Diceros bicornis minor: one gene and its partner. The protein of the gene in region 1 purifies or fractionates together with the protein of each later gene. This does not show direct contact. Links are inferred from orthologs where the notes say so. Each region holds a gene or a part of one and is shown on either strand. Other genes may lie near its edges.

What was found. Proteins that work in one complex are often made in the same cells at the same time.
Region 2: the proteins of ANAPC4 (region 1) and ANAPC11 purify together in Homo sapiens (affinity purification with mass spectrometry; 8 studies listed by BioGRID and IntAct, with this or other methods). This does not show direct contact. The link is inferred for Diceros bicornis minor from reciprocal best matches to the Homo sapiens genes ANAPC4 and ANAPC11.

The regions. Positions count from the first base shown.
Region 1 is NC_080747.1:20,485,788-20,493,818, reverse strand, and holds the start of ANAPC4 (anaphase-promoting complex subunit 4), read right to left. Parts: upstream 3,025-8,031; 5' UTR 2,946-3,024; intron 2,855-2,945; 5' UTR 2,845-2,854; coding exon 2,716-2,844; intron 1-2,715. UniProt on the Homo sapiens protein: Component of the anaphase promoting complex/cyclosome (APC/C), a cell cycle-regulated E3 ubiquitin ligase that controls progression through mitosis and the G1 phase of the cell cycle.
Region 2 is NC_080757.1:61,218,694-61,226,347, reverse strand, and holds the start of ANAPC11 (anaphase-promoting complex subunit 11), read right to left. Parts: upstream 3,013-7,654; 5' UTR 2,971-3,012; coding exon of another isoform or gene 2,747-2,970; intron 2,599-2,746; coding exon of another isoform or gene 2,399-2,598; coding exon 2,290-2,398; intron 1-2,289. Other genes in the region: ALYREF (THO complex subunit 4), read left to right, coding at 2,397-2,598, 2,747-2,970, 3,019-3,432, 3,878-4,009, 5,468-5,615, 6,220-6,283, 6,385-6,559, 6,657-6,671. UniProt on the Homo sapiens protein: Together with the cullin protein ANAPC2, constitutes the catalytic component of the anaphase promoting complex/cyclosome (APC/C), a cell cycle-regulated E3 ubiquitin ligase that controls progression through mitosis and the G1 phase of the cell cycle.

The sequences.
Region 1 (8,031 bases):
ATTCATTCTGTGTCTGAATGAACTTAAGACATTTTCAAAGAAATGCTGAAACAAGAAGGTCTAATTTAACCCTGCACCCTATACGCTTTCCTATCTTCTACATCAACAGGAAACTTACCTATTAAGAAGTCTGTCCAAGAAGAAGATAACAAAAAAGAAATAACATAAATAGCACTACAAAGGTAGTTGTAATATAGTCAAATAACACTGAACTTGGAATCAGACAACTGGGATCTAATTTCAGCTGTGTCACTCACTGGCCATAGATCTTGGACAAGTCACTTAGCCAATCTAAACCCCCATTTCTACACGAGTAAATTCCCACCTTGGAAGGTCAAGATGAAGCCCCTTGTGCTTCAAAAATAAGACTGCCCCTACTCCATCCTCTACACAACCACTGAAAATAAGGAAGAAAAGGCCTCAGAATTGCTCCTGAAGACCCCTCCATACCTTCTTAGTTCCCCACACTCACAGCTCTACCACCACTCCCTGTCTTACTGTATAGCGTCCTTCACTCATGGTTACACCAGTCACCACAGGAAAGCCGAGCTTCCCAAGGAATCGCTCATCCCCAAGACTCCATGCTCTTTCCTGAGCCCATCTCTGCCATTCCTATGTCTGAAACCCTTCCTCTGTGCTCTAGAATTCATGGTCTGGTATCATCAAGATCTCCTATACCTTCATTCTCTTCTCTGAACTGTGCTTCTCACCTGAGGCCACTGCTTTCTCGCAGCGTTCTCAGGTGGTGGCTGTTTTGCGTCCCACATCCCCTGGACTACCATTGGGCTAGGACATGAAGTAGGTTTCCTCCTTGATGCTTGACGCCATTTCTGGATGATTTTTCGTCTCTAAAATCCTCTAATTTTGAATCACACGCAATCAGACCATACCACCTGCTATCCCAGTTAACTGCAGCTGTCTACAGACCCCTAAGCCATTCCCCTCATTCCCTGAAGATGTGGACTCCTGGCTCTTCCATTCTCTCCAACACTATTCATCATCATTCTTGGTGATTTCAAGAACTACAAAATCCTGGCTTTTTAGTTCTTAACTACCTCTCCTCCAATGATCACATCTTCTACCTCACTTCAGTCACTTCCAGGGTCACGCCCTTGACCTTGTCATTACCAACAACTACAATGTTACCATAATCTCAGTTTCAAACTTCCCACTTTCCATCCACCACCTCTATCTTTCCAGCTCATCACTACTAATACCCAACTCCAATTCTTCAACCTCACCATGTCATACGACCTATTGATTCTACCACCTATTCATTGTTTCTCACCCAACACATGCCCTCATTTCCCTCCTTAATCAGGTTAGAATCCAAGGTTCATCATGACAATAATTCCTCTTGCATATAACTTAACCCTCTTGCATCTCTCTTCCTTTACCAAACTTGCAAAACAATCCTGGTTAAACCCAGCCATGCCTGCACCCACATAGCTGAACAGAATACAAGATGCACATACAACCACGCTCACTGCTTTCCCTCAAACTACAAGACCATTGAATTTGGGTGGCTCCTAATACTAACCAGTAATCTTATTAGGCTTCCCCAGTCCACTTGCTTTGTCAGCTTTTCCATACCTTTCCCTTCTCCTCAAACTTCCAATATTTTCTTCTCCATCCTCACTCCTAGATAGTGCTCTTTCTTCTTCACTGAGAAAATGGAAGCAACAAGTGCCCACAACACATCTATCTGATCACACTGATGCCCCTATTCTCTCCCTTCCCTCCTACTGCCGTGGCTGTACTATCTGTGCTCCCCTCTAGAGCCATGACAGAGCTCCAAAGCACCCTGGCAGAGGAGGGAGACTAGAAGATTTGATGGAGGGCCTGAGAAAGGAGACATCAATAACCTGGGGACAAGTCAACATAGTGACGCAGCTTTGCAGGCTGCTAAGTTTCTCTGGCTGCTGAGTTTTCCTTACCACCTAGTTTCCAAGCTTGGCTGCACCCAACACAACTCTCACCTGACCAGATAACTATCAGGAAATCTGCCAAAAGGCCAAAGGAGGAAAGATGCACAGGTGAAGGTTCCTTACAAAATTGCTGCCAGGTAGCAAGAACCCTTACGAGAAAGTTGGGTACAACCGGGTTATACTTGATGTTGCGTAATATAACCTGAACTAGAAACGCTGACAACCTTCATGCACATTCCATTAGGAATTCAGTAAAACGTCACTCCCTGTGTAATTTAAAGGGATTTTAAATGGGATGTGGCTAACCAACCCGTAGTATAAAATATGGACAACAGAATACAGATTCTTAAACATATCCTCTGTGGCAGCCACATGCACGCACATTTGCACACTGACAATAATTCATTTTTCTTCTGCTACTAAACTGTAAGCAAACTTAGGGCATGGTCTGTGGATCTACTACTATGCCTAGCTCAGGAGTGACACATCATGGGCTTTTAAAAAGCCCATTTAACAAATAAATGACTAAAAGAGACCTGGGAGGCAGGATTGTACGATGATGTTAAGCTGTGCGAAAAGAGTTGTCTTCACCATAAAATACGGAAAATGGGCATATAAATTATTTTTCCCGTATACGGTCCCTTATCCTTTCACTGAAAGTTTACAGCTGGCCGGAAGGGAGGGGCGGGGTAGACAGGTGGCCCGCAAGTCCAGAGAAGGGGAAACTGAGGCTGGGGCAGTCTGTGACGCGCTCCTCTTCTCGGGGTTTCCACGCCGGCTCACTCACCTCGCCCGCAGTGTTGGCCAAGGCAATGAGGTCCCGCTTGGGTGACCAGACGAGGAAAATGATCTCCTGCGGCAGCTGCTTCTCTCCCACCACCCGGAAGGACGGGAAGCAGGTCGGAAAGCGCAACATGGGGGCGGCCCTGCAACAACACCCCAGTCGGAGGCCAGCAGGGGACCCCGCCGCCGCCCTCGCCCGCGGCCCTCCCCGGAGAGCCCCGACCGCGGGGGTACCTGTCACATCCCCTCGGCAACCGACACGGCCCGGGCAGCCTCTCTCCCTGCTCGGCCGGCTGCCGCCGCCGCCGCGCGGTCCGGGCACTTCCGGCGCCCGGACTTCCTCGCGAGAGGAGGGAGGCGGCGCGGGCGCGAGCGGCGGGCGGCTGGACCCGGATGCGGAGACTGGGCCGCGGGGCTGGAGGAGGGCAGGCGGCCGGGACTCTGAGGCCGCGCTCCAGTCTGTAGGTAAGGCGTGCCTACACGTGTGTGTGCTCGCCCGCAGTTTTTTTCCGTTTTCCCGGAAGTTCGCAGATACGGGTGAATGGACAGTCATAGGTGTAGGGGTGAGGCCTCAGAGACGAAGGGAAGACGAAAAGGAACGGCAACTTTAGGTCCTGACCAGCTGGAGCCCCCTGTGACAGTCTCTAAACAGGTAGTTCTCAGTCCTGGTTGCTCCGCAGAATCACCTGGAGAGATTGTTTTTAAACCCCTTGGCCAGGCAGCACCCCAGACCAAGTAAAAGAGAATTAATACGAGAGGGGACCCAGCATTTATTAAGACTCGCTAGGTGATTCAAATTTGCAGCCAAGGTGGGAGGGCCCGGCTCTAAAACCTCTGAGGTAGGCAAATATCTTGATTTTTTATCCCATTTAAGCCTCACAACTTACGGGTAGTAGTAGCCCCACCATAATAAATGAGGACTGTGGGCTCATCCAGGATTTATCCCATAGCGATTTGAGCATCTACGGTGTGAAACAATCTGGGACTACACTTATGCACGGGGCTGGGTTCTGCCCTAAAAGGCTCACTGGTCAGCCTGGCCGACATGTAAATCAGAATCCATCTGATGCTTCTTTATACAGGACACATTTAAATGTGTCAGTTGTGTTTCAAGTTCCCACAAGTTATGACCTGGGTTGAATCTGACAGTATCATCTTGACATTCTTGAATTTAAAATCTATGGTAAAAAAAAAAACTTCTACTTGTTCAAAGGGGAAAGAGGCGGCATGATCTTCCACTTTCAACAATCCCCATCTTCTTGCCCTCTATCTGGATCTTGCTCCTGGGAAGTAGGTTACAGAGGTAGACTATGTCATTCAGCAACAAATATTCCAGGCACTGTTTTGTGCCAGGCACTGTTCTTAACTCTAGATTTGATGCTTGCCCTGCTCCCTCTCACAGATGGGCTTTTTCCCTTGCCTTTGCTGCAATGTAGCATGTCCTCCAACTTCTTGCAGAGGCAGCATTTTTAAGGCGAGAATGGACTTGCCTTTGTTATTCATGAAACGCATTTTCGGGTGTTAGTGTTCTGGGGTGGCAAGAATGGATAATCTGGATGGTGGGGGTCTGATATCTATCCACTTAACATTCTCATGGAAACTGTATGCCTATTTTCCTGAAACTTATGATGAATATGAACCCTCATACAACACATGCAAAGGACTGTTAATACAGGTATACATACACCGTGCTATGGGACATGCATATTATGAAGACTTCACAGCAGAGTATGCATTTCCCGGAAGGTATTACAGCACAGGAAACAGCACAGGTGTGGAGTTCCAGATGTGGCCGGGAAACAGCAAATAATTTTATATGGCCATAGAACCTCATGTGTGTTGGTGGGAGTGGGGGGCAGGGATTGTTACTGGAAATGATCCAAAGTAGCCATAGAACAAGAGCTATTAACACATAGTGTTTCCAGCCTTTTCTTTCTCCCACTGCCCCATAAAGATTTTAGCTTGACCCACTCCATTTCTTTGCGTTCCTCATTCTCTAAGAAAAACACTGCTTAGTCAAATTGGTTTATTTGTGCTTCTATGGCATAGAATCAAGAGGAAAGGGGAATGCCAGAGATCGGGCATCAGTCGTTTTTAAGGAGGCACATGGAAAGTGGGAAGGGGGTGGGGAGGGAAATGGAAGGGAAAATAGACTTCAAGAAGAATTTCCATGCTCTGTGTATCCTCTTCCTAGTTCTTGAAAAATAAAATGGAAGAACTAGCTTTTTTGAAATAACTTTTTGGTAGCAAGGCTGTTTTCTTTGATCGTTACACCCCTTGGGCTAGCTCATACTGAGGGTATCTTTCCACATGTTATAATGGTATGGGGTTGGATTTTGAAGGGCCAGGCAGCTGCCAACAGAGATTTATTGGGGGGGGAGGGGCGGTGTTGTTGACAGCATCACACTGGTTCATTGGTTATTCAGGACCTTAAGTCTTGTGACAAGGGTGATGATGGGTTAGAAAGGAAGAACTGGAGGTGTAAAGATGGCAGGAAGACTAGTTGGGAAGGGTGTGAGTCCAGAGACATTTCTGAAGTAGAATAACAAGAACTGATTATTGATTTGATTGGGGAATGAAAGCAAGGGTTGGGATATTTGGATGCACAGACTCAGGAAAGAGAACTGGTTGTTCTTGGATTAGGGGCTGGGGTATGAGGGGGAAGGGGGGGAAAGTAGACCAGAGCAAAGGAGTTCAGTGAGGACTACCTTCAGGTGGAGGGGTGGTGTGAAAATCTGCAATGGCCAACAGGCAGCTGGAAAGGCAGATTTGAAGGGGAGGGGTCGGGGCCTGAGCAAAGATGTGGGAATCCCTGTGTCCAGGGATGGAAGATGGAGTGTGTGGGATGTGACTAACCTAGGCCATATGAAAGGCTGTTATTTTGAAGTCATAAAATAGGTGAAACATACAAAATAAGCAAATTGACTGGATTTGCTGGAAAGAGAAATAAATGTAGATGGTGGTTGGTGTTAGAACCTCTCTGCCCAGGGCCAGCCAGTATCATGGTGGTTAAGTTAATGCGCTTCGCTTTGGCAGCCCAGAGTTCACAGGTTCAGATCCTAGGTGTGGACCTACACACCGCTCATCTGGCCATGCTGTGGTGGCATCCCATATACAAAATGGAGGAAGACTGGCACAGATGTTAGTTCAGGGCCAATCTTCCTCACGAAAAAAAAAAAAAAACCCTCTCTGTCCTATGACAGTTGTATTCATTAGGCAACAAAAAAAAACCCGACTCAAAGTGGCACAAGTAACAACTAGAATGTACAGTTATGTGCCACATAATGATGAACCACATATATGACATGATTCCATAAGATTAGTACCATTTATCCTAGTTGTGTAGTAGGCTATACCATCTAGGTTTGGTAAGTACACTCTATGATGTTTGCACAACAATGAAATCGCCTAACTACACATTTCTCAGAATGTATCCCCATGGTTAAGCAACACATGACTGTACTGGCTCATGTAAATTACAAGTCCAGCAGTAATGCCAACTTCAGGGCAAGCTAGATCCAGCAACTTGGTGTCACCAGGGACCCTGCTCAGGGTGTGCATCTCACCATGTGGTTACTGGAAGACTGACAACAGCAACTGGAGCTATATGCTTCCTCATTCAGAAGGACAACAAACGCCTCTTCACCAATCACAAGACTCAAGTCCTAAGCTTCGTCGTGATTAAACCAACATTACGAGCCTAGCTGAAATCAATCACAGGTAAAGGGGATGGGATTATGTCCCAAAAAAGTCCTCCCCCAAGAGCTGGAGAGGATGTCAGTCATCCCTCTCCCAAACCCCATGGCAGGCACACAGTAGGGAGGGTGAGAAGATGGTGCTGGAGCAACCATTCAACACTGTTCAATATGACAATCCACCATGACTACTCAAAGGCTAGTTTTAAGTATGAAGTGCATTTGGGAGATGTTCCATCCTGGCAGAGTGAGACTAAATTGTTTCAATTCATAGTGTTTTGTTTGTCTCCCACAATCACTTCAGTTGCTGTTCTGGGAAAGAAATTCAGAGACCAACTCATGTGACTCCCATCTGGAGGGAGAAGTTCTAATAAGAGCTACAGAACCAGTATTCATCTGTATAGGAATTTATCCTGATGGGGTTCAGGGCAGGCTGCCCCAGATGCGCCACTCTGGTATGTGGATTATTTCGAGCTGAAGACAATAAAGGCTCAAAAGACTCAGGAAGAACATTTGACCTTCCCTCAAACTGCCTAAAAGAATTTAACATAGAAGGCCTGTTCCAGGAAGGAGATAATACCATAAGACAGCCATACTATAATGTAAAATAGGTGTCTTAGAGAGGCACCAACAAGCCCATTTTTGGCCCACCAAAACTTGTTTAACAAACATTTGCATTTCCATCTCCATGTAAATTGTCTTCCTCCCCTCTGAAATCCCAAACCACTACCCCCAATATCCTCCTTTGCCTTTAGCTGAAGATGATATTTAACGTGGTGGCTTTGGCTAGATGGCTGAGTTGCTCAGTTTTCCTGAGTTTCTCCCATGTATACATGTTATAAAGCTTTGTTTGATTCTCTCTGTTATTGTCTCACGTGAATTTAATTCATAGCCCAGCCAGAAGGACCTAGAGGGTAGAGGATTTGTCTTCCTCCCCTACAATCCTAAGGAAATAAGAAAAGATTTGGTTTTAAGTATGTTCATCATAGAGTCATTTACAATAGGGAAAAAATACAAACAACTTAGATGTCCAACCACAGATTAATTTTTTTTTAAATATGGTACATCGATACTGAAGAATACTACTATTGTGGTAGATATAAAACGATGTTCACAACATGTTTCTAAAAAGGAGAGGATTACAAAACAGTATGTATTTACCATTCCATTTTTGTGGGGGAATTTTAGAGTGTGTCTGTCTGTATAGCTATTTAGACAAGACTATCTGACAGAACATACACAGAAGTTGTGACAGTGGTTACCTCTGGGTGGTAGGATTAGAGTTGCTTTTCATTTTCTTTGATTTACCTGGCTCATGTATTAATTGTACAGTTACTAGGTAGCACCTTTAGTTTCCTTTGTCCTCTTTAAGCATGTGGAATGTTCAGGCTATCTCTAGTTTTCTCCCACTCCTCGCCTCCATGTTTGCAGATGAAGAAACTGGCCCATCTACTCAGGCTTAGTTTCTGAGAGACCACCAGATGTTACACTTCTAGTCTGCAGGGGTATTAAGCAACTAAACAACGTGAGAATCTTGTGACTGTCCAGCTAATGTCCAGGGATAAAACTCAGCTCAGAGCTCTGAGAGCTGCTTGCTCACTTTTGATGCTTTTTTCCCTCAGTCT
Region 2 (7,654 bases), on another chromosome or scaffold:
GAGGGGTAACGAAGCCACCCTGTCCATTTGTGGCAGGGCTCGTTTGGACAAAGGAGCTGCTTCATTCTAGCGTCTGCCTGAGGCATCTGATGAGCACAAGAGCGAGATGACAGTGACTCACAATGACAGTGACTCACCAAGAGCTTGCTAGTGTCTTAATAGAAGTCCTTTATTTAAAACACCTCTTAACAAGACTTTTATTCCCAAAGCCCTCTGGACATGGAGCAGATTTATTACAGTCTTAGTCACTCTGGATTTTTCACAGGAGTTCAAGTTTAGTAACAGAAACCCAATGTCACTTAACCTGGATAGAAAGCACCTTATTAGGCTTGTCAAACGCTTCGCATATTACAATCGGCCCACTCTAACTTAACAACCAGCAGGTCCGAAGATCAGACTCCAAACCTCCTACTCTCTGCAGCCAACGGACCCACTTCAACAAAACCTGAGCATGCCCGCAAACGTGGAGACGCCCAGCCCTGGGCACAGCTGGAATGGTACGTGTGCTGGCCCACAGGTGCCATCTTTAACACACAAGTGCACTGGCCCACAATGGGCTGAGGTCACATGCTTCCCAGAACTTGTCTTTTCACAAAATAACAATCTGTTGCTTAGGAAACTGCAAACACTTGTCCCTTTAGGCTCCCACAGCCTTTGTTGTACCCTCAGGAAGGGAGATTTAAAACAGATTAGATGAGACAGATCTTGTGCCTTGCTATTCTCATTTGCTACTAAGCAAAACCTGGCCAAGTAGAGCCAATCAATTATTTCCTAAGATTACATTCTGCCTGTTTGATTAAATCAGGATGGATTAACTCCTGGGTGATGCGATTTCCTTTCAGCCAAGGCAGATGTAAACATTAAGCCTAGAATAAAATAGTATTTGCACTAAAAGTCAACGATTTGAATTTCACTGTAAGAAGCAAAGCCCTATGATTATTCTGGGCATTCACCTCGCCCCCAAAACCAGGCCTGGTCACCCCCGGGGCAGCACGGAGCTCGGCAGCACTCCCCAAGCCCACTTTCCTTGGGGCACCACCCCCTAGGCAAAGCCGTCACCCCCGTTCTGCTTCATGTTCACTTGGGTCTGACCGAAAACTAAATTCACAGGTGTAAAAATCTGCTTCTGACAAATATATAATTAAATATTTTCTACTTCACAGAACATACTGGGAACAAAGGAACAATCCAAAGGCCTCACAAAGAAGAAACTGATAAAAGCTGACAGTAGGCATTCTGCAAGGCAACACACCAACTTTCTAAGAGTCAGATATCTTAAAAAAAGCGACAAAGGCAGAGAAAGGATGTTCTAGATTAAATAGCTAAGGGACAGAGCAACCAGATGTGCAGTCCTGGCTCACACCACCCAAGAATGAAAAGACATTTGGGGACAACTGGAGAAATATGAACAAGGACTAAGAATGGGGAGTGACACTAAGGAACTGTCATGTTGTCTGATGTGACAACAGTGCTGGGTAAAAACAGCGTTACATTTAGAGATGCAGCTGAAGTGAGTGGGGTGAGATGTCAATTATCATTTAGTTGAGCCACGGGGCTGGCCCTTAGTTGAAAACCATTCAGCTAAAACATAAAACAAATACCAAAACATCTTACTTATCCATTGTCAGTCTATGTGCCGGATTGGGGGGGGGGGTGTCCTTATAACATTCCATTTTTTTGTTTGGTTAAGAATTTTCAAATAAAAAGTTTTCACACATCTTTTTGTCCCATGTGTTTCATAGCCAAGTCTGATCATGAAAAAAAGCTGCACCATATTTGGGGGGAGGGGGGGTTTTTTTTTTTTGAGGGATATCAGCCCTGAGCTAACATCCATGCTAATCCTCCTCTTTTTTGCTGAGGAAGACCCGCTCTGAGCTAACATCTATTGCCAATCCTCCTCTTTTTTTTTTTCCTCCCCAAAGCCCCAGTAGATAGTTGTATGTCATAGCTGCACATCCTTCTAGTTGCTGCATGTGGGACGTGACCTCAGCATGGCCAGAGAAGCGGTGCGTTGGTGCACGCCCGCGATCTGAACCTGGGCCGCCAGTAGTGGAGCGCAGGCACTTAACCGCTAAGCCAGGGGGCCGGCCCTGCACCATTTTTTTCTTACAAAACTTTTGATGGGGTCTTTATACAAATAACGGCCCAAACCGCCTGGCTTGTTTCTGTCAACTTTTCTGGAGGAAAGGGAAACCCAAACCCAAGAACTTCGTGCAGATATTTCTGGGGAGACGCCGAGGCCGGACGAGCAGGCAGAGCTCAGAGGCAGCGGGCACAGGGGACACTCACAGTCCGGGCAGCAGCCATTGAAGGCCATCCGGCAGATGCCACAGTTCTCGTCGTTGGCCACCCAGAGCCAAGTGGCCACTCCGTTCCAGCACTTGATCTTCACCTTCATGGCGGCGGAGCCTGCGGGCGAGCGAAAAGAGCACCCGACAACATTTAGTCTGCAGAGCTCAGCGTTTCAGCACCAAAGGACAGGCGCTGCCCGGAGCCCGAGGGTCTGCGCCCGCGGGACTCGCCGTCCGAGCCCTGAGAGTCCGGCAGCCGCCGAGAGGGCGGCCGGGCTGTGGTTGCCCCTGGGAGAGCGGGAGCCCCGCGACTGAGGCTGGCCACTCATCTAGGGCACCTGCGTCGGCCGCACGCTCCGCCCGGACGCCCGCGAGGGGCACTCTGGCTTCGGTAGTAACAACAGGGGGCCGCGCGGACTACCCGTGGTGACAGACGAACACCGACCGCCCGCCAGTTCCCCGGGAAGGCCACCCAGTGCGCGCGTCCTGCGCCCCACACCGGACTCGCCCGAGGCGGGGAGGCTCCCGACCCCGGCCGCACCGCCCCGCGCCCCCCGCCGCCCGGGAAGGGAGAAGGGCGGTGCCCGGACCCGCCCCAACGGCCGCGCCCTCGCACCTCCGCGGCGAATCGCGCGCCGCCCCGCCCGCCTTCCGTTGGCAGCGCCGCCGGCGCGGGAAGGTACAAAAACGACCGGGGCCAGCTCCCAGCACCTCGCAGCTGCGCTAGCCGAGCCTCGCGTCCTATCGCGCACGCGCCGCTCCGCCCCGCTGCCCCCGCCCGCCTGCAGCCAATCGGCGGCCGCTCCGAGTACGCGGCACCGGAAGCCTCCGCGCGGCGCCGGAAGTGACGCTCCAGCGTGCTGACGCGCGGGCTCTAGCTGAGGCCGATTCCGCGCCCGCCATGGCCGACAAAATGGACATGTCTCTGGACGACATCATTAAGCTGAACCGAAGCCAGCGAGGCGGCCGCGGCGGGGGCCGGGGCCGCGGCCGGGCCGGCTCCCAGGGCGGCCGTGGCGGCGGTGCGCAGGCCGCCGCGCGAGTGAACCGAGGCGGCGGCGGGCCCATCCGGAACCGGCCGGCCATCGCCCGCGGCGCTGCGGGCGGCGGCGGCAGGAACCGGCCGGCGCCCTACAGCAGGGTGAGTGCGGAGGCCGGCCGGCCGCGGCGGGGCGGCGCGTGGCGGAGAGGACAGCGGGCCGGGCCGGGCCGGTGGCTCGGGCGCCGGGCTGGACGGGGAGGTCGCGCGGCCGGCCGGGCCTAGGAGGCGGAGACCCTGCCGGCCTTTTGTCTCGGCTGGGCGCCGGGCCTCGTGGCGCCGGGGGCGGAGGGGGTGTAGGGCGCGGCCGCACTGGCGGCGGAACGTTCGTAGGAGGGAACCGAGAAGTTGCGGGGCATGGGGCCTCGGCGGGGTCGGCTGCGGCCCAGCGCGCGCAGGCGGGAAGCGGAGGACTGCAGTGTCCTCTGGGCTCTCTTCTCCGGGCTCCGATCGGAGAGGGTCTTGCCGTGGCCGTGAGCGCGCGAGAGAGCCCTGGAGTGAGACTCAATGGGTCTGTTTCTGTTCTGGTGTTTTTCTTTTCCTTCAGCCGAAACAACTTCCTGACAAATGGCAACACGACCTTTTCGACAGCGGATTTGGGGGTGGTGCCGGCGTGGAGACGGGTGGGAAACTGCTGGTGTCAAATCTGGATTTTGGAGTATCCGACGCTGATATTCAGGTAAGGGTTTGGAGCTTCTCGGTGAGCAGTTCACCCTGCACGGAATCGGTCGTGTTGTTTGGGATGTGGCCCTGAAGTCCCCCCCCATCTTAAGACAGTGAGCCCTCCCAGGCACCCAAGAGCTAGCGGCTGTCCCCTGTAAGGGGCGGCAGGAGTGCAAAGCAGAGGTCATGCCAGAGTTGAAAGTCCCACAAGTAGGTCAGTTTGTGTTGGGAGACAGGCCCCCAGCTTGGTCTAAGGAGTTGCTGCTCCTTACTAAGATGTGTTCTGTGAGTGGAAATCCTCTGCCGGGGTTCCCAGTTTCTAACAGGAAAAGACTGGTTAGATATGAGTCGTTCCTGTGTTACTGATAAAGCTAGGCTGCTTGCTTGCTTTAATTAGTACCTGTTTTAATGATTTGTTGGGAGGAGAAAGATTTTCTTTTGTAGAACTGGAAAAGCACAGAAGCAGGATGGTGCCGGTCATCTTTCCAGCTCTGTTTGCCTTGAGCCCTGTGTCTCATAAGGAACTTGTGTCATGTTGTCTCACTTATCACCATCCCCCTGGGTCTTGTTAGTGGCATGATTCTCAAACCCATCTTTGGTTGAAGCCTTTTTTTTTTTTTTTTTTTTTTTTGATTGAATTCCGAACGCGTTTAAACTTCTTTTCTGGTTTAGTAACAATATTTTGGGGGTCAGTCTTGGAGATGGCTGGGTCAGGGTACTGGGCCTTCCTGGGTTAAATTTCCCAGAGCCCAGGCGTTTGACTTTACCGTGGGAGGACAGAGCAAGGCTGGTGAGCACTCACAGTGTCTCAACACTTTTTTTAAGGTGGTTTCTGGCATCCACTGGAAACCGCTTTTGGTGAACTCCACTTCCCGCTGTGTGCCTGCGGCCGGAGTAGCCCCACACTCTGGGTTCCCTCTCCAACTCCCAGCCTGCCTGAGGTCAGGGCAGTTTCCATGGCAGCGCTTGACTTCAGACTTTGCGGCAGGCTTGAGTAGGAGGAGAGGGAAAGGTGAGCCAGAATCTGCCCTGGGGGAGGGGCTGGGTCAGGGCTCCCGAATCAGCGGGCCCTTTGAGCTGGTCCACATGTTAGATAGCATCCCTTGCTCTGTGATGTTGGCCTTTGCTGTTTCTTGGCACAGTCCTTGAGTGTGTTGTAAATTTTCCTTTGTCGAAGAAGATAGTGACTTAGTCTCGTGCCTTTCACTGGTGGGCTTTGTGATCCTTTACCTGCATCACAGTATAGGTGTCAGGTCCCCAAGTTGGCAGGAGCCCTCAGGCCCAGCTGCTCCTGGAAGTTGCTGTCCCACCTGCCCCATCCCTTCCCCCAGTTCCCGCTACCACTGCCCTGCCCCCCATACGTAAGTCTGCCTCCCAGGGAAATATCCCCAAAGCAGCTCACACTTCCAGGGATTGTCCCTGGGCCACCAGAAGAAAAACAGCTTTGCTAACAGCTGCTCTTTCCAATTCCCAGGAACTCTTTGCTGAATTTGGAACTCTGAAGAAGGCGGCCGTGCACTATGATCGCTCTGGCCGCAGTTTAGGAACAGCTGATGTGCACTTTGAACGGAAGGCAGATGCCCTGAAAGCTATGAAACAGTACAACGGTGTCCCTTTGGATGGTGCGTTTGGGGTCAGCCCAGGAAGACTGAGGGCTGTATCTAGTTTGTGGAGTTTGGGGCTGGCACCTGTCCATGCAGGAATACGGCTTACTTCTCTGGCTGAAGGCACTTTGTATTCACCCCTTTGTCTCTCTCTTCTATTCTGACACCTCTCGTGCTGCCCCACACATCTGAGCCAACCTCTTGTGAACCCCCATCCAGCAAGCTACATCCCTCCCCTCCTTCAGCTCCTTCCGGAAGATTCACTTCCGTGAAGTCTTCTCAGAACTGCTATAGTACATCTCTGAGTTCGGGGCTATAGTCATAAAGACAAAGGTACCAGTTCTTCCATCAGATCACCCACATCTTTCTGCCCGTGAGCACCTTGGACACCTGAACAGACACCCACCTCAACTGGACTAAGAAAGAGCGAGGTGTTGCTGGGGTTGTCGTTGGTGCCGTCTTATTCTCCCGGCAGTATCTCCAGGCCATATCTCTTGTCAGGAGCCTTTGAGGCACACAAAGCGCCTTTCCAGTGCTTGCATGGAGATCAGGGTATGGTGCCACCTGGGCAAGTCTCAGAATCCTCTAACTGGAATGTGCCCTCTTGTATTCTTTGCCACAGGCCGCCCCATGAACATTCAGCTTGTCACATCACAGATTGACACACAGCGGAGACCTGCACAGAGGTGAGTTGTGGGGCCTCTGGGATGGGGTTGGCCTGTCCTGTGTGGCTGCTCATCTTTCAGGCCTCTCCATTTATGGAAATGAGTCTCCTTTTCCTTGCTAGTGTAAACAGAGGTGGAATGACTAGAAACCGTGGTTCTGGAGGTTTCGGTGGTGGTGGCTCCCGGAGAGGCACCCGTGGAGGCAGCCGGGGCAGGGGCAGAGGCACTGGCAGGAGTTCAAAGCAGCAGCTTTCTGCAGAGGAGTTGGACGCCCAGCTGGATGCTTATAACGCAAGAGTAAGTCCCAGACGAGGGCCAGGCTGGGGCCAACCAAAGCCCGACTGGTGTGTGGGACCCTGTTTTGAGTGAGAACCTCTTTTTACCTGTGTTTCAGATGGACACCAGTTAAACAGACCAGCAAATCCGTGCATGGGACAGGACCCAGACATCTCGTGTGCGCTCCCTGACGGGAGGAGGGTGGCAGACTGGGGCTGTGTGGCCAATGATGGATTTGTTTCTTTTATGTTTTAAAATAGGATTTAAAACTCTTGTAAAGGTTTTTTTTGTTTTTTGGTTTTGTTTTGTTTTTTTTTAATTCTGAAACAGACCTGTTTTGTACCAAGTTATTTTTGGGATAAATTTTACTGATTGCTGTTGTGGAGAAGGTGGTGTTTTCACCTTTGCCATAATAAAATAGAAATGCGTGTAGAACTGGAACTGTTTGATTCATCTCACTGTTGGAGTCCTTGCCTAGCCAGAACTTCAGTGTGGGCCCAGGTGGGAGGGAGGGACATGGGACCTGAGGAGGGGGCATCTGGCATCCTGGTGTGGGTTTGGAGTTAGTGCTTCAGGGGGTGGTGGCTGCTACTGTACCATTTCTCTCCCACTGATCCTAACTCCTTCCTCTCTGACTCGGTAGGTGGGAGGACAGGGGGCAGTAGTCCCTCTGCCTGCAGCTGCCTATTGATTGCCTGTGCCATGAGGTGAGGGATGGCAGGCACCTCATGTCGCTGCCAGATTTCAGATGATGAGGTTGCACTGTTCTTTCCTTCTGGTGCTGTGGTTCTCAGAAACCCAGACTCAGCACTTCTGACTTTGCAGCCTATTCCCCTGGTGTTTCTCTCGGTCTTTCTCATCAAGGGGGGAACAAGGTGTAAGTGTGTTCTCTTAATTGTGTATTTGGTGGAACAGCTAGTGGAAGCTGGCAGAGTCTCTTTTGACCTGCAGAAAACTGAAGGGGCTTGCAGACACATGTGCCCGTCTGGACCCCCTCTGAGACAGAATAGAGCAGGCTGGTGACCATCACTTGCCTCAACGCCCAGCCTGCCCTGCAGTGTGGTTCAGGAGGGGCCAAGCTTCCTGTGGGAGGCAGGGTATGGAGATCCATCTGAA